Caenorhabditis elegans: one gene and its partners. The protein of the gene in region 3 interacts with the protein of the main gene of each other region in a biochemical or structural test. Each region holds a gene or a part of one and is shown on either strand. Other genes may lie near its edges.

Evidence for each region. The genes of interacting proteins can lie anywhere in the genome.
Region 1: of the proteins of sgk-1 (region 3) and daf-16, one has a biochemical effect on the other in vitro, tested with the Caenorhabditis elegans proteins (2 studies listed by BioGRID).
Region 2: of the proteins of sgk-1 (region 3) and skn-1, one has a biochemical effect on the other in vitro, tested with the Caenorhabditis elegans proteins (one study listed by BioGRID).

The regions. Positions count from the first base shown.
Region 1 is NC_003279.8:10,748,702-10,753,542, reverse strand, and holds the start of daf-16 (Forkhead box protein O), read right to left. Parts: upstream 3,046-4,841; coding exon 3,034-3,045; intron 2,981-3,033; exon of another isoform or gene 2,972-2,980; coding exon 2,888-2,971; exon of another isoform or gene 2,838-2,887; intron 2,650-2,837; coding exon 2,559-2,649; intron 2,506-2,558; coding exon 2,355-2,505; intron 1,125-2,354; exon of another isoform or gene 986-1,124; intron 478-985; exon of another isoform or gene 331-477; intron 1-330. UniProt on the Caenorhabditis elegans protein: Forkhead-type transcription factor. Binds to the promoters of genes that contain the daf-16/FOXO binding element (DBE), TTGTTTAC, in their regulatory region.
Region 2 is NC_003282.8:5,657,340-5,661,934, forward strand, and holds the start of skn-1 (Protein skinhead-1), read right to left. Parts: upstream 3,046-4,595; coding exon 2,917-3,045; intron 227-2,916; exon of another isoform or gene 77-226; intron 32-76; exon of another isoform or gene 1-31. Other genes in the region: bec-1 (Beclin homolog), read right to left, coding at 4,001-4,186. UniProt on the Caenorhabditis elegans protein: Transcription factor. Required to specify the fate of ventral blastomeres in the early embryo, and postembryonically for the development of the intestine. Directly regulates expression of zygotically expressed med-1 and med-2 to direct mesendoderm development.
Region 3 is NC_003284.9:16,256,039-16,264,072, forward strand, and holds the start of sgk-1 (Serine/threonine-protein kinase sgk-1), read right to left. Parts: upstream 6,014-8,034; coding exon 5,992-6,013; intron 4,091-5,991; coding exon 4,023-4,090; intron 3,275-4,022; coding exon 3,200-3,274; intron 3,153-3,199; coding exon 3,016-3,152; intron 2,959-3,015; coding exon 2,875-2,958; intron 2,242-2,874; coding exon 2,100-2,241; intron 2,046-2,099; coding exon 1,914-2,045; intron 1,829-1,913; coding exon 1,716-1,828; intron 1,639-1,715; coding exon 1,419-1,638; intron 1,000-1,418; coding exon 693-999; intron 1-692. Other genes in the region: mua-6 (Intermediate filament protein ifa-2), read right to left, coding at 6,443-6,493, 6,551-6,667, 7,612-7,773, 7,952-8,034. UniProt on the Caenorhabditis elegans protein: Acts downstream of PI3 kinase age-1 and kinase pdk-1 in the daf-2/insulin receptor-like transduction pathway. Essential role in regulating development, stress response, and longevity.

The DNA.
Region 1 (4,841 bases), on a different chromosome or scaffold from region 3:
CAATGTATAACAAGAGTTTCATCGGAGTAACAAGAAACGGGAGTGTGCGGGGAGAAACAGAGAGAGGGCAATAACAAAAGTGCAAAACCAAGAGAGAGTCTAGTTCAAGTGCGTTATTAGTTAGCAGAAACCTAAAGATTTTTCGTGGGAGGGGCTTTTTACAGTAATTTCAGATTATCACATCATCTAGTTTACGCCTAGAACTCTGACCTTTGAAACTGTTTTTTTAATAATTTATTTTCAAAACAGAATATACAACGTCACTTGCCGTTTTTGTTCTTTTTTGATTTTTTACATGAGAAAGAAAAATCGGTGTCAACGCGTCTGACTGACTTTTATCTTTTGCAGCAGGCAATTGATAAAGACGCCTGGCAATGTATGATGAAATGATCAAAGACTGTCAGTATGTTGACAGTCAAAAGGAGCTTGATTATATAGCGCAATGGAGTGGGAAAGATTTCGTGAGAGTACAAAGAACAAATAACTCAATGGTAATTCCGATAAGCTAGATCTAACTGATATTTTTGGCCACCAGATTTTCAGGTCGACTAAAAAAAAGTGAGGTCTCGATCAAATTTCACTGAAAATCAGAGCGTAGGAAGGAAGAAGGACTAAAGGCCAAAACAAACACTTTCACTTTCACCAGAGAGAGGAGGCAGCAAAAAAAATCACAGACAGACCGTGAGTAGAACACACTACTTTTTTTCCTTTTTTTTCGACGCGAGTCTATCCAGACAACGAGACACTGAAATCCAATGGGACGTGTATAGTAGGAAGGCTGAGTGGAATGACAATTAAATTAAAGTACCGTACTGTGTGAAAATGGTCGATATTGTAGAGACTCTTAATTCAAAAAAAATTGGCTTGGGGGCACAAGATCGCCAAAAAAAATATTTTCGATATGATATTCCCATATTTAGAATCAACACTTAATTTTAAGATGTAGAGTTAGTTAAAAATTCCAAATATAAAAAAAGCGACTTTCAGGCGTTGCCTGAAACTTTTCAAGCTTTTTTAATAAAGGTATATGATTTTCCTACATTTCTGTTTTAATTTTTGATTCAAAAAATTTGAAATCATACAGGAATTACCAGTTCTGCCAAAAACCTCCTTATTTCGAAAATTTGAATTTTCTAAAATGGAACCATAATAGGTACTTCGTTTCTGTTCTCTGATTTTCGACCTATCGTCTGTTCTAATCAAAAACCCCGCTACAACAGTGTGCAAAAAGTGCACTTTTCCGTTCTCAAATACCACTTGCTCTCTCCCTTTCTTTCAAATGTTTGCCATTTTGTGCTTCCTTCCCGTAGAGAGAAGAACAGCTGATGTGACAGAACAGAGAGAGAGAGACAGAGAGACTCTGTCTGGCAATACAGTGAGGGAGCAAACGCGTGACAGTTTTCGACCTCTGAACGTCACACCGTATACAATGTTGCACACAATGGTGAGTAATTGTTGAGACGGGCGACGACGGTTTTTAAAAGAAATGGGGTTACTGTAGAGAGAAATTATTTTTAGAACGAAAATACGATTTCTGTCTTTAAAAAAGTTGAATCAGAAACTCATGATATTAAAGTTTGCATCAAATCTAATTTCCAAGCAATCAAAAGAGAAAAGAGAAAATAGAAAACCTAATCACCAGTTGTTTGCAAACTGCAACTCCGCGAGAAAAAAAAAGAGAGAAAAGAGTCAAAAGATCGGGGAAACCCCTTTAAATTCTATTTGCCTCTCCTCCTCACATGCACGTGAATTTCCCGTGTGCTTAGTGGACCAACAGCTGACAATAGGCTTGTTGGCCTATAAAAGACGAAAAAGTGTTAAATGATTAGAAACAAAAAACAACTAAAACAGTGATGACATCAAAGGGTTTTCCCTTAAACAAATCTCGAGGTCAGCAACAATGAGAGAAATCACTTTTGATTGTGCCAACCGATCGGAAATAAAATGGAGAAATTGGAAGAGTAACGAAAAAAAGAAATTTCGATGATCAAAAATCAGAGCGAATGTGACAGATAAAAGATGACGCGACACGACCACAAGAATTGAAAAATCAGAAACAGTAAAAGGTCAGCTGAGACCTAAAATTGAGAAAAATTCAAGGCCATTCGGCATATATATATATATTTCTATATATTTTTTTGTTCTTTTTTAATTTAAACATTTAAAATTTTGAAATTTTGAAATTTTAAAACCGAGGCTTGTTCACAAGCCAAAACTCTTTCAAAAATTGATAAAAAGGGCAAAAATCATCAACTTTTATAGCGTTTGTCCTTTTTCCACGAAACAATGCTTTTAGTGCAATTCGACTTTTATGAACCTTCACAAACCACCTAAAAATCTTAAATTTGGCGTACCTAGTTCTTCCGCTGTCAACAGTCTCTAAAGATGTGTGGAAATACGGAGAGAACGAGCATTTTTCGCGAAGAAATTGTTGAGAATACTGGGTTACTCCGCCAAAAGAAGCCGAACGCTCTTGTTGATGGAGGTCGAGATTGAAGAAATCATCTGAAAAAAAAACAAATAAAATTGGAATTTACAACTTTAAATCACGAATTTACCGTCAAAATCAGTGGAAAAACTCATTCCGGAATCAGGCCTTGCCGGTTCGAGATTGTGCAGTGTGATGTCAGATGGTAGCGGCGAATCGAGCTGAAAACTGGGCAAATTAGACGAAAAAAGCGCGCTTTTTTGATTTTCAACTGTAAAAGCTGTGTAAACTTCCACGATTTCGCACAAAATCGGGTTCAAAACAACTATTTTTAGCAGCGAAATGAAGAAAAATAGGGAAAAATGATTGGAAAAAAATTTCGAAAATTTGAAATTTAAACTGCGAGTATACGGTAGTTCTCGATGTGTGTGCAAGGTGTTTGCGTATGCGGCGCCATACCTCACGACAGTTCCACGCTTGCATGTCCTGTGAGAATTTTTGCAGAAAATTTCGGCACTTCGAGCAATGTAATGAAGACTTTTGCTGCAAATTTTAGTTTGATTTTCAATTTAGAATCATAATTATAAGCAAAAAATGTTAAAAACCTCGAGTTGCATCATTAAAATACAGATAGAAATTGAATAGAAGTTACAATGAGGAAATTAATTTCAAATGAAACGTTTTTATTTTGGATAATTTTGAAATCTTAACTAAAAATGAACATTTCCGACGTCTCGAACTGATAAAAAGAGAGAGAGAAGAAGCTTATTTTGACATAAAATGTGTATAGAGGAAGATTTTTTTGCAAAAAAAAAGTTTCTTATCACAATCCATTTTTGCCCACTTTTCCACCATTTTTTCCATCACATGTTCTCGTCAAATGATGGAAAAGTAAACCGATATGTCTTTCCTTGAGAAATAATATGAAGAAAAAAAAAATAGAAAAGAGGACATTGGGAATGCTTTTTTTTCTCGTTGGTTGGCGGCCGGCGACAGAGGTTTCAGAGATCAACTTCTGAGCGACCCCATGCGAGAGTTGTTTACGAGAAAGTGCAAAACTGTTTTATGAACTTTGAGACGGAAAAGAAAAAGGGGAAACGAAAAAAAGAAGATATAAAGCGAAAAAGCAGCAAGCTCGCCCCAAACGAACTCACTATTAGGAATAAAACATGAGTTTTTTAAAGAGAGGAAATCGTGAGAGAAGATTTTGGTAAAAAAATGATTTCAAGAAAAAAAAATCAGAGTTCGTAAATCTACACTGTGCAAACACCGGAGTTTACGAAAAAGTACAGAAAATATGAAGGTTTCAAATTCAAATTTTTTAATTAAAGAAAGGCGAAAATTTCTTTGAGCTGGAAAAACTTTGGAGAATATATTATATTTTTTCGAAAAAAAAAATATTTTTCTAAAAGTATATAATATTAATTTTGGTTTTTTTTTTCTTTTTTTTTGAGGAAAAATAACAGTTTCTTACGAATTTTTTTCATAAATATAGCAGAAATGTAATTAAAATTCGATTTTTTTTTGTAAATTTCCTTGAAATTCTGTCAATTTTCCTTCTTTTTTTTTGAAGAAACACCTTTTTCTAAACATGTCGTTAACAATAGTTCCAAAAAATTGGATTTTTCTCGTAAAACTTCGAAGCACTTTGGTTATTACGGGAACACAAAGTTTTTAGAATGCGTATTGCAAAACATATTTTACGCGCAAAATATCTCGTAGCGAAAACATGACTACTGTAGCGCTTGTGTCGATTTACGGGCTCGATCTTCGAGATGAATTTTATTAAATCAAAGGATTTCGAACATCGAGCACGTAAATCGACATAAGCGTTAGAGTAGTCAAGTTTTCGCTACGAGACATTCTGCGCGTCAAATATGTTGTGAAATACGCATTCTCACAAGTTTGTGTTCCCGTAATAGAGTTGCCGATTTTTTTTAAAAGTTTTCTAATCTCCAATTTTTGGCAATTTTTTTGCTTTTCAAAGAAATTTTTTTTTCTTTTTTTTCTTTTTTTTTTTTTTTCATAATAAAATTGCGCGTAAAATTAGATGCACTGACTCCACCCCCACCAATAGATCAAACTATACGCGCTAAGTCTTTTCAATCTTTCTAAACAATCTTTTGCTGCATTTTGTAAATAACTGAAAAAGAGCAGAAAACATGCAAAACATAGAAAACACTCATGTTTTTCACAAAAAAATAACTTTTCAAAAAACACGACGAAAACTATTTTCAATTTGCTACGTTCTATTTTCAATTGAAAACGATCAAAAAGTGTCTCTTACATAATCATCTGACGGTTATTTTCGTGGATCATCATCAAAACCCACCTGTCTTTTTCTTCTTCTCCGGGCACAGGAGAAGAAGAGGAAAAGACTTACTGAATTGTGTGTTAAAGTACACTAGACAGA
Region 2 (4,595 bases), on a different chromosome or scaffold from region 3:
TTGCCTGAACACAGATAGACACAGACTTGTGGAGATCGAAAATCGCAACTTTTTGATCCGAAATCTTGGTGCGCGGTAAATTAACGTGCGCAGAAAATTGACCAATTAAATGAAAAACTAGAAGAGAAGGCTGCTGTGGGGGCCGTAACGAAGTCAACGAAAGCTGATAAGACCAGCATTGTCGCTCGCCGCTTGCACCAAAGACGACGACTACAAAACGACTACACAACGGCAGGTGAATGTTGTAGCGAGAGGGCGAGTGCGACCGAATTGTTGCAGGCAGGTAGTAGACGGTGGGAGGTGAAAAACCGAAGATCTGGAGAATGTGTGTGTGGATGTTGATGCAATTTTTCATAGCACGTTGCCCTTAAATTCTGATGAATCCACACAGAAGTAGTACAGAGCAGGACTGTGCGGAAAAATATTTCGGCAAACGTACAAAAATGAATATAAAAATGTAGGAAAATGCTCGCTCAATCTGAAAATGATATGTATTTTTGTTGGAAAAGTTTGAAAAAGACTTTCAATTGTGCCGTCTTTTAAAAAGTTTTCAAAAAAAATTTTTTTTTCAAACCGAACGAGCATTTTCCTACATTTTAACATTAATTTTTGATTCAAAAAGTTGATATATTTTTCGAAAAAAGTTACAAGTCTAGTACAGAATACTTTGAAAAACGATTGAAACTGAAACTCACGAAACCGAGAGAACAGTTTAAAACAATTATTCAATAAACTTAATGCTTGGTGGTACTGCTGAGAATAAAAAATTTGTTTTGATTTAATTTCTTCTCAACGCCTAATTTCAAAATGCGTGCTGGTTTTCACGTTTCCAAAAATCCAAGTTTTTTTTTGGAAAGGAACCAAAAATTCAAAAATAAAGCATATCAGTTTGAAGTTTGTGCCAAGACTGATAAGAAATATATGAGAGATGCAAAAGATATCACTTGACGAGAAAAAGAAAAGATTTTCGATATTCTAAAAAAGAGAGGTTTGGGTGCACACGGAAATCGGATACATCTACAATTGAGCTACAACTGAATTATTCAAACCACCTGCGTCAGACATGCATGGGAAAATTGAATTATCCACACACCTTCTTCCCTGTTGATATGTGATCAGAATTCTTCGAAATCTTGGCTAAAAATAATTATGATACTAAACCTGCTACAAACCACGTGTTTTTATTTTTATTATTACTACAACAAAAATAAAAACAAGCGCATAATAGTCTGATATTTGGTTGAAAATCTCAATTAATCAGAACATATCCTGTTTATTTCAGGATATTATGATCAAAAATCGCGAAATTTAGAATATAGTAGTTCCGTCGGAACTCAAAGAACTCAATCTTTCTGTTTGAGTGTACTGTGAGTTTGACATCATATTTGGCTGTTTATGAATTCTCGTAGAACGTGATGTTCAGAATTATATTTCTTGACCTCAACCGTGAAAACGAATAGGTTCAGCATGTCAAATACATTGCAATTCAATTAGAATATAGTAGAAGAAAGCTTCTACTCATATTCTGTCAATAAATAATCATACTTTCAATTTTTACAAATCGAAAGCTGTGATCCGAATTTCAACTTATACCAATTCCTTGATCCATTGCGTGCAAAAACCCAACTAACCATGTCAACCGCACCCATTCACAATCAGACCACAGATATGATTCAAGTCATTTTTTCGGTTTTAAACGTCTCATTTCCAGATGATATCATCTTGCACCGAGAGCGTCAATTTAATCAAACGGTTTGATCAAACATTGTACGTGGTGGTGGAAAACCGTTGTTGATAGTCGCTGTCGGCGTAGCAGAAAAAGTTCGAAAAATCAAGAGCCTCGTGGGGTGTCTATCAGGATGGTAATGCTGCTATCAAGCTGGCATATAGGCAATCGGGGGTTTGCGATTTTGGAGCGACTCCGGCAAGATGTTTGTATAATATACATATATGGAGGACAATGTACAGACAGTAATATTTTAGGCTAAGTTTAAGATTGAAGAGATTGGAAAATATCTGAAAATCTGATGATCTGGCGGAAGAAGGATTTCGGAAGGGAACGGTCTTCTTAGCGGCTCTGAAATACAAAGATCACGCTTTCCATTGTTTTCTTGAATTTTTGAAATTCTACTTTTCAGAGGACTTCGACTTCGTCCTCTGGCATTTACGAACATAGTCGTTCCGGCATCATTATTGCAACAGAGAGAGAGAGAGAGAGACAGAATGAGCCGTGAATAGTTTCAGACAACGAGGCAACTGTGACATTCTACATGAGATAGTTGGGATTAACACGTAACAATGCGGGAGACCTAGATAACGAGAGTGATGTGACTGAAGTGATAAGAGGAGAAGGTGGTCTGATATGGAGTTTGGGAAGGAAAAGCTGTTCAAAGTAAATATGTTACGCGGTCTTTGAGAAATGATCTATAACCGGGTGTAAATAAGAAAAAATGTTTGAATTTGAACTTGAAAAATCATATTTTTGAAAACTCGACTCTCAATTGTGGTGTATTTTCCCTATTTTAGTCTACTCGAATTAATAGAAACTTCCAAGAATAATATATAGGTAGATGATGAAAAAGCTTAAAAAAGCTAAAAATAGGCTCCACTCAGATCTTGGTTATTCTTTTAGTTTTTTTTCTTGTTTCTGAAGAAATTAAGTAATCCGTGAAGAGAAAAGCCATGTTTAAGGTTAAAGCTGGAATTTTGAGCCAAAAATCTTGGGAAAAAATCTACAAATCTTAGTTAAAGTTGGATTTAGAACATGAAGAAAACAAAAATTGTAAATGCAAGTAATATTGAATCAGAATTGCAAGAGTTGACTGGAAAAGTGATACGAAAAGTCATGCTCTCCCGTGAAATGATGATATTCTTCAGGTCTTTTTACTTGATAAAACCAACAAAAAAAAAACTAACCGACACTCCATAAATTGACGTCGTCTCTTCTTCGTCGTCGGCTACCGAAGAGAAGCACTGTCTTCGTCTTCGTTTATCGTCTCGTCTCGTCGCCGACGTACTTCGCTGACGGCGTGATGAACCGCCCATCGACTGACTGGATTATGATAGATCCTGTGAGAATGAGTGGAACACTTCTCTCAACAATATTCGGACACGGACTCGCGGCTGAGTGACCAGAGTCCGATCGACGGAGGAGAAACGCGTGAACGACGACACGAGGCCTTCTCTGCAATATTTTGAGTTACAACAATTTTTTTTCTAGAATTCAGAAAACGGGAATTTTCGGAATTACAAGAACTATTCTAGAAAAAACTAGAAACTTCGTTTTTGGGGAATTGTATTGTCTACAAAAACCTACAGTATTTTTTTTCAAATTTAATTAAAGGAGGAATATAGTTTGTGGGAGGTTTTCGCTTAAAAAAAACTAAATCTGGCACAAAAGTGCCGAATTTCATAGTGATATTTATTTAAATAATTTCAAAAACGTTTATGACTGGAAAAATCGAAAAAACATTCAAATTTTCCACACATTTTGGTCGAAAATAAAAAAAAAACGGTGTTTTAGCTTTAAAAAAATCCAGAATTTAGCAAAATTTGGACCTTATTTTTCGATATTTTCAGTTATACATTTTTCGAAAATTTTGAGGCAATATTAGTAAAATCAGATTAAAATAAGTTTAGTGGTAGGAACTTGATTTCACAGTTTCAGAAAATTTTAATAATCATTAAACCAAGTAAAGCAACAAGAAAGAGAAAATAAATTAGGAAAAATTCAAATTTTAGATAACAGAATTGGTTTCAAAACCAATCAACAAAAAATAACAAAATTTCCTCCACAAGACTGCAATAAAAATCTTTACTTTTAATATATTTACATATGGTACAAGTTTGGGGAAAAGGCAGAATTCCAGCAGAAAATTTGAAAAAAAAAACTAGAAATCACAATGAAAATTGAATATTTTTTAAAGAAGCGTCCCTGAGAAATTGAAAAAAAAATTTCTAGCGTTGAAAATGTTATTCTACATTTGATCCCGTGAAATCACTAAATAGGCGATCTGAGAGCATCGCATTGAGCACACGCAGCTTTGAGATCTGTGAGCATTAGAGCCATTGCACGAGTCCATCGAACATCTGTGTTGAGTGTCATAACTGCATTGTATTTGACACCATTGTCAACCAGTGAATCAGCATGAATTTGATATGGTGGTTTGAAATTTTTGTTTCGATCCTGAAAAATGTATAAAAATTAGGGTGTTTCTGAAACCAAAAAATTATAAAATCGATCTTTATACCGGAAAATGAATATTGTAAATCCATTCTTAACGAGATGTGAAATTTTACAGTTTTGCTCCAAAAATACTTTAAAAAACCCGATTTACTCAAACTCATAAGGGATCGTGCGCCTTTAAGGCCTACGGTATTTCCCAACTCCTCAAGTGTTCACCCAATTATTTAAATAAAATTTATTAAAAAACATGTAAAAACACGCCAAATTTCGTAGAAACGGGCGGAAAACTAGGAAAAATCACTCTTTTTCACTAGTTTCTTTCAGATTTGGGTTGGTTTTATACCTTTTTAACGTAAATCGGTTGAAAAATGGGAGTTGGGAACTACAGTAGGCCTTAAAGGTGCACGAT
Region 3 (8,034 bases):
CATCTTAATATTTTATTTGGGCTTCTATTAAAATTAGACATTTTAATGAGATCAAAAACCGAAAAAGAAACTAATAAACTTTGCCGAGAAACAAAAGGAATCAAAAGACGTGGGCTTGAAAAATGAGGCTTTTTAAAAAGTTTTGGAAAGTTTGAAAACAGTTTTTAAAAAAATGAAAAAAATGTTTCAAATTTTTTCGCAGTCATTTTCGGTATATTGAGACTGTTCTTTTTGATTTTGAAAAGAAACCGTACAGAAAAAGGAAGTTTTTGAAGAAAAATGAAATTTTTGAAGACCTCTCATTACAAGATTTGGTCTTACTACATATTAGATGTCACTTTGAATAGAGCGTTGAACTAAGATTAGTTACTACAAATTTTTACATTCTTATTGGAACCAACCCTTCTCCCCAACTAGGGCTGGCATATTTGGGGTCCGGTTTTGGAATTTTAAAAAATTTTCAGAAAAAGTAGTTTTCACGGCGGCCGACAATTTCCGAGTTTGGCCACTCACTATACTTAATCATATACATAATTCGATAATGAGTGGCTAAACTCGGAAATTGTCGGCCGCCGTGAAAAACTACCTTCGGAAAATTCTCAAAATTCCAAAACCGGACGCGATGACCGGAAATATGCCAGTTCTATCCCCAACCATCCTTAATTATGCCAATTATTGTACATATATCTTACATGGATCAATTTGAATCTCCACGAACTCCTTTGAAATATTGGATGTATCCATTGCGTTTTTCACTTTCGGAATGAACGGAGCCTTAAGCTCACGATTCAGAAGCTTATCCCAATCAACCGGAAGGAAGAATGGATGATCACGAATGTCACGGAAATCATTGCGATGGCCCAGACGCTTTGAACGGTCTTTTTGCAAGAGCCCGGTGATGAGCTCACTGCATGGCACAGAGATGTTGTGCTTGAGACGAAGTGGCTGGTTGATGATCTTGTCGTACATCTCGTTATGATCTTTTGAGTAGAATGGAGGCTGAAATGATTGCTCTTTTTTGGGGGGGGGGGGAGCAGATTAAGAAAGTTATGTCAGGGAAATAAATCAAATCAGCAATTTTAGCTTGAACTATGTAATATTTTGTGTTCTGTGGTTTTGGGAAAATCACAGAACAAAAAGAAGAAGCAAAAGAAGAAGCAATTTTAAGTTTCTAGTCTGAATTACACATCAGGGCTGTACTAATAGAAAAAATATGGTAAATAGGTTATGTAAAACTTTTAGAGAAGGTCATTGGAACAAAAGTCGGCAGAGTTCTATTGCGCTAAGCTCTACGAAAAGCGGAAGAAAATTGCAGTTGTAACTACTAATTATAAAACTAGTCATCATATTTTTTAATAAACCAGCTATAATATTTCAGATTGTGTATTTCAAGTTTATGCCAACTCGGCAATCCTTACCAATCCAAAAATCATTTCATAGAGAACCGATCCCAAACACCACCAGTCAACAGTCTTGTCGTAAGGCTTTTTCAGAATAATTTCCGGGGCCAAGTACTCCGGCGTCCCACAAAATGTGGAAGTTGTCTTGCTTCCTTGCATATCTTCTTTACAGAGCCCAAAGTCGGTGAGCACCAAGTAACCTTTATCGTCCAACAGAAGGTTTTCAGGCTTCAAATCTCTGGAATGTAAATTTATATTTGCATATTGCCAAACCAATTTAGAGGTTTCTTTTTTTGAAAGCAAGTAAATCGCTACCTGTAGATAATGTTTTTCTCGTGAAGATAACCCAGAGCACATGCAATCTCGGCCGCGTAAAAACGACTTCTCGACTCGGAAAAATGTTTCTCGCGTTGGAGGTGAGAGAAAAGCTGAAATGCCACATTTTGAAAGTTTTATAAGTTTTCTATCGAGTCCATTCTTCCCTATATTAATCTAAACACATGGAATAGGTACCTCTCCTCCGTTCAAGTGATCGAGCACAAAATACAGCTTCTCCTTATTTTGGAACGAAAAGTGAAGTGAAACAAGGAAAGGGTGCTTAAAGTTGTTAATGAGCACATTTCTTTCTGCCATGACGTGTTTCACCTTAAAAACGTATTTGCTACTTATGTTCCAAAAACTTGTAACACTAATCAATACCTCGTTCTTTTTTCTGATATGTTCCTTGGACAGAATTTTCATGGCGTAGATTTTTTTGGTCTCCTTGTGCCTGACTTGGTAAACTCTTCCAAAGCTTCCTTTTCCGATAGTTGTCAGATAATCGAAATCATTGGCGGTGGCTCTGAAAATAAACTGCTAGAGGCAAAAAGTCTTGCAACGTATATATGAAACTCTGGTTTCTAAAATTTCCATAAAAATTATACTGTTGGTCGAAAAATTTTGAGTCGACAAAAATAGGTCAACATGAGATGGGAAAGCCAAAATTTTCGGAAAATAAGCAACACTTCCTATTTTGGAACGAATCAAAAATGGATGTCTTGTTTCAAAGATTGGAAAAATTTCAAAAACTTGGTAACGTAGCTATTTTAAGAGCAGATGAAACAAAATTAGAAGCTCATTGCAAACGTTCGGGGAAAAAAATCAAAAGTATTTAATATAGGTCTCCCATGAGGTCGTCGCGCAAGACGGATGTATGCGAATGTATAATGTTGCGCGGAACCCCGAACGTGTCGGCCGCTTCCAAACAACCATCTCTTCACACTACGTTGCGCACACACCAAGCTACTTATTTCACGACCAAGCTGCGGAACCCCGAACATGTCGGACGCTCCAAATAACTACATTTCGAACTTCATTGCAAACACACGGTGGCGTCGGGGTGAGGTCCGCATTTTGCGCATCACTCAGCTGGGAGCTCTACTTCAATATGTGCAACTTTGGCGATTTACCGCAAATCCTTATGGCCAAAACATACGTTTTCCTCTCACTTGGTCCGAGATCAACATTATTCTCATCATCATCCGGACTTTCGAGATGGAAGAACCGACGGACATCCTCACTGTAATCATTGTAATCAAAGAATTATAAACTATCCAACATAAATTAATCTCATTACCTTCTTAAATTATTATCAACAAGATGCTGACTAATCACAAGGATCCAAACACGTCTTTTCTCGTAGAACTTGCTGTCAGCTTGCAGGAACTTCTTTTTCGGCGCAGTGAAAATTGTAGCCGGGATCATATCCTTTTCCTGAAAGTCAATAAAAAGTTGGAAAATAAAAACTTGAAAAAACTGACAGTTGTAAAAAATCTTTCATATTCTTCAAACGTTTTTTGCATAATTGGGCCATTTCCGATACGGAGCGCGTAAACCTGAAAATATAATTTTATTTGAAAACTCGTCAAGTGTATTTAAAAAAATATTTCTGATTTGGGCATGTGTGACAAATTTGTAATTTTCTATTATAGTTACTCGCCGTGTAGTCTTCAGGAAAAATGTTTTATAATTGAAACTGAACGTGTAAACTTTAAAATATTTCTTGTGGAACACACAAATCTCAAAAGTGAACACGGTAAATCTATAAATTGCAAGTTGCCGGAATTGAAAACGTGCAAATTGCCGATTTGCCGAACTTGCCGGAAAAACGACAATTGCCAAAAATGTTTGGCAAATTGTGGTTTTGCACATTTTTAAAAAATTTCAGAATTTCAATTTTAATCGGAAAAATTGTACGCATGTTCCAACATATATTTTGAAAATTGAACAACTTCTATGTAAATAGCTAAAGAAAACGGGAAAAAGTTTCAAAAAGGGCCAATTTTCATGTGTTTCCGTCTTATAAAAATCCCTCTAGACATTTCCGGCAAACTTGATATCCGGCAGACGGAAAACCGACAATTTGCCAAAAAAGAAAATTTCCGGCAACTCGGCAAACCGGTAAATTGTCGGAATTGAAAATCTCCGGCAAATCGGGAAAACCGGCAATTTGACGATTTGCCGAATTTGTCGACAAAATTTTTTTCCGCCTATCCCTGCATCACATTATACTTTACGGACAAAAAATGAGATAATATTTATTTTTAAAACTCTTTAAATTAATCTTAATGCTCTCTAACTTACCACAGTTTTCTTATCATCTCCTATAATAACATTGCATGTCACCTCATCTTTCCTCACCATTCTCGACTCTGAAATATTCAAAATTAAATTATATTAAAACATTTATCGATATCAATAAAAAAATAAATTAATGAGCATAACTAAAACTCGTCAATAAAAATCGATTGCTATTTCCGGGAAGCAGATCATGACTTTTTCTTCGGCCTTATCAGTCCTTTGAGAGAGTTTCACTACACTTATCAATACTGCATAAGCACTTTTTGACATGAAACTTATGTTGAAAAGAAAATTGGAAAAGGTAGTATGGCTCTGGTTTCTCAACTCCATTAGAGGTAATGAAAGGGTAAAAAACTTCTAGAGAAGGAAAAAAAAATATCATCATCATAATTTCTTCCGGTTGATGCAGAAAGTGACGTCATTATTTGCATTTTGAAAGAATCATAGAAATCATAAAAAGAAGCATGCAAAGTAAATAGATTGTTAAGAGGTATATTTCAAGATGATATAGATACGTTAAAGAAAAAATTTAAACCATTAATAATTTATAAATTAATTTCAAAAATTAGATGAATGAAAATGTCTATTTTTTTATTTTTTCAAGCATAAAAATAATTATTTGAAACTCTCAAAATAGGCACAATGATAAAAAATAATTATTTTAATCCATTGCAAACCTTTTTTGTAGTTCTAATACTACACAAGTAAAACGTAATAAATTGAAAAAACGTATTCAGTTTTGATTTCAGAAAATGAAAGTTCAAATGAAAATTAAGCTGTCAAACAGAAATGCGTTATCAAATCATTACGTTTGACCAGTGGATTATTTTATGTCAGAATTGGAAAATTTGATTTTGAAATCATGAAGACTGAAGTATGTTTCAGAAAGAGTTCATTATATTATAATTTCTTGGAAAACCTAATGCATTGTATTTTCCTGTGAGCATTTATAGGTTTGTTAAAAAACATCTAAATTCATAATGAAAATTCAAAACTAGTAAGTTTATGTTTGAGTTAATGATCTATCTGCATTTTAAAGGTGAAGTAGCGCCAATGGGGATTTTGTCTAAATGCTCTTATTATGATCCAAAACGACAGAATATCATAATAAAAAACTGCAAAAATTTTAGACTTTTCATAATTTCCGGTCAAAGTTTTGGCAAATGGCCAAATTTCGAAAAATATGAGCTTGTGAGGAAATCCGAAGCATGGCCGCATGTTTAGACCCCTACAATGTTTAAATGTGAATAATTAAAACACAGTCACAGTATAAACAATGTAGAAAAACTTTTTTTTTTCGGACGACTTCCAAAATTTTGAGTAAAAACTAAATAATTGTCACTTTTTGAGAGTAAAAAAAAAATTTCAAAAATTTTTTGAATAGTTTTATTTTGATATTCCATTAATTTGAGACCATAGGCGTGGTTTTTGACAATTTCCCCCACTGGCGCTACTCCACATTTAAAGCACATTTTAAAAAAAATTTATGATAACTTCTCACAGGTGTAGTAGCGAAATTTGGATTAATTTTTTAATTGGGTCAAAATGACCCCAAAATATCGAATTTAATTTATTTTTATTTCTGAAAAAAATAAAAAATACAAAAAACTACATTTTTAACTTGTCAACCTATGTTTGTCATAGTTACCCAAAATTGATTTTTATTAAATTTTATTGAATGTTCTGTTTTTCTATGTATTTTTAATGAATATATTTATTGTTATGACTTTTTTCGTTGATTAAGTTGTTTTCAGGAGTAAGAAGTATTTTTTGCACCCATCAACTAATGTTTTCAGACCGCCGCAACTGTGACATGTTGGCAGAAATCTAGGTTTTATCTGGAAGAGCTAGGTTTTCAAAATTTTATCAGCCATTTAAAAAAATTGAGACTTTTAAGACATTTCAGATTTTGAATTTCTTAAAACAAATACAAACATTTCACAGAACCAGCCAGGTTTAATCTTTGACTCACCATTATAATACATGCTGCCCATTGTCACAGTAATGCTCTCGTATTTAGAATAACCGCCACCAGGTCGAATGTGGGTTTTCGATGTATCTTGTCTCGTGTTAACTGATTAGAATCGCTGGGTTGGACCTTGTCTTCTTATCACGGCTCACCGAGCCATTCGTCTGACTTTCTTATTTGCTCTTGATCACGTTATCACCTTTAATATTTCCCCACCTTACTTTTCCTATCAATGTTTCAAATGAAAAATGAACATTCCATATGGCAATTTTTTGATCTGTATAAAGTATTTATTGTTGAAAATGAGTAAGTTACCGGAGGAAAAAGAAACAAAAAAGTGAAAAAGTATATAGCAAACGGAAAAAATGCAAACAGGCAGGCAGCAAAGAGTTGGGGTTCAGATTTCTGGTACAAAGAGAAGAAAACAGTAAATAGCTCAAGCAAAAAGCTAGATTTAGGAAGATGTCGTTTGTTGGCTTTGACGTTGGATGTGTGTCGCGCGCTCCTGCAAAGAAAAAAATAACATTTTATTCTGCACGTAAATTTTTGGGGGTTGAATTACCTCTCCCTTATTGTTGTAAAGGATTGTTTGAACGTTGGCGCCAACACCGAATGTTTCGTCACCTTCGAAAATGAGCACTTCTGGAGGATTGGCGATTCCTTGTCCGCGGGCGAAGATCTGGAAATGTAGAAATTTGTCTTTACAGTGGTTTTTTTAATGTTAAAACACCTCACTTGAATTTCTTTTTTTTTTATGAAAAATGTTTTGTATGAAATTGATTGAAGGTGGAGTAGCGCCAGTCGGGAAATTGTTAAAAACCACTCCTTTGGTCCAAAAATGACCAAACATCTTGATAAAACTTTTCAAAAAAAATTTTTAAATTTTTTATTTACTGTCAAAAAGTGGCAATTACTCAGTTTTTGCCACTCATAATTTTGGAAGTCGATCAAAAAAAAAATTTTTTTTCGACATTTTTTATGTTTTAATTTTGTTTGTATTAAAACATTGTAGGGGTCGAAACATGCGACATTTCTTTGAATTTCCTCAAAAGCTAGTATTTTAAAATTTTTTGGGAATTTGCCAAAACTTTGACCGGAAATTATGAAAAATCTAAAAAAAATTTTGGAGTGTTTTATTATGATATTCGGTTGTTTTGGATCATTATAAGTGCATTTAGACAAAATCCCCACTGGCGCTACTCCACCTTTTAAATAAATAATTGCTTCTTTCAAATTCATTTCTTATTCAAACCTTATTTGAAAACATTTTTTTTCAAAGCTGACCTAAATAATCTCACATCTCATCTGTCCCTTTTATTGATTTCTGTGAACAACGTTTGTCTTCACAGTTTCCATCAATTTGTTTATCACTTTTTATTCCTTCTTTTTCTCCTACATACATCCCCAATCTTTCTTTTTCGAAGCAAAGTTACCCCCCCTTTAGTCATTACGGACGGATGACCTTGCCACACCCAAACGCAATCGCGCATTAGATTATCAATTCGACACACACACACAGAGACAACAACACATTTCATTCTGAGACACCAATTTGAAATGTTTTATACGCGACAGGTCCTGGGTAGCTAGGCTTGTTTCTGAAAGAAGTAGAAATTCGCAAACCTTGACAGATTGGAATGGGTGGAGGATGTAGTCGGATGGGAAGGTGAAGACGATCTCGCGTTTTCCGTCGATCTTTCTCTTAAGCTTCCAGTCTCCGAGTGGCTCTTCTTTGGCTCTGTGTGTGTTTTCCAAAATGACAAATTTGCCTTCTGGGGAGGTTTCCTGAAAAGAAATTATCATTATTGAGTATGTACTAAGTGATAAATTGATTATTTTTATGTCGGAATGATATTATTAGTGACTACAGTCAATGGCCATTGGAAGTTTTAAATTTTTGAACGTCAAAGCTTTATTTTAGCGAAAAAGCAATTTTCAAAAAACTTGAAAATAAATCCCTCACCTTGATCGCCACATTTCCTTTAGCTGAACGTTGATAAGATGTTCTGCTGGAGTGTTCTCCTTTGACTACGCGCATCGTTTCGG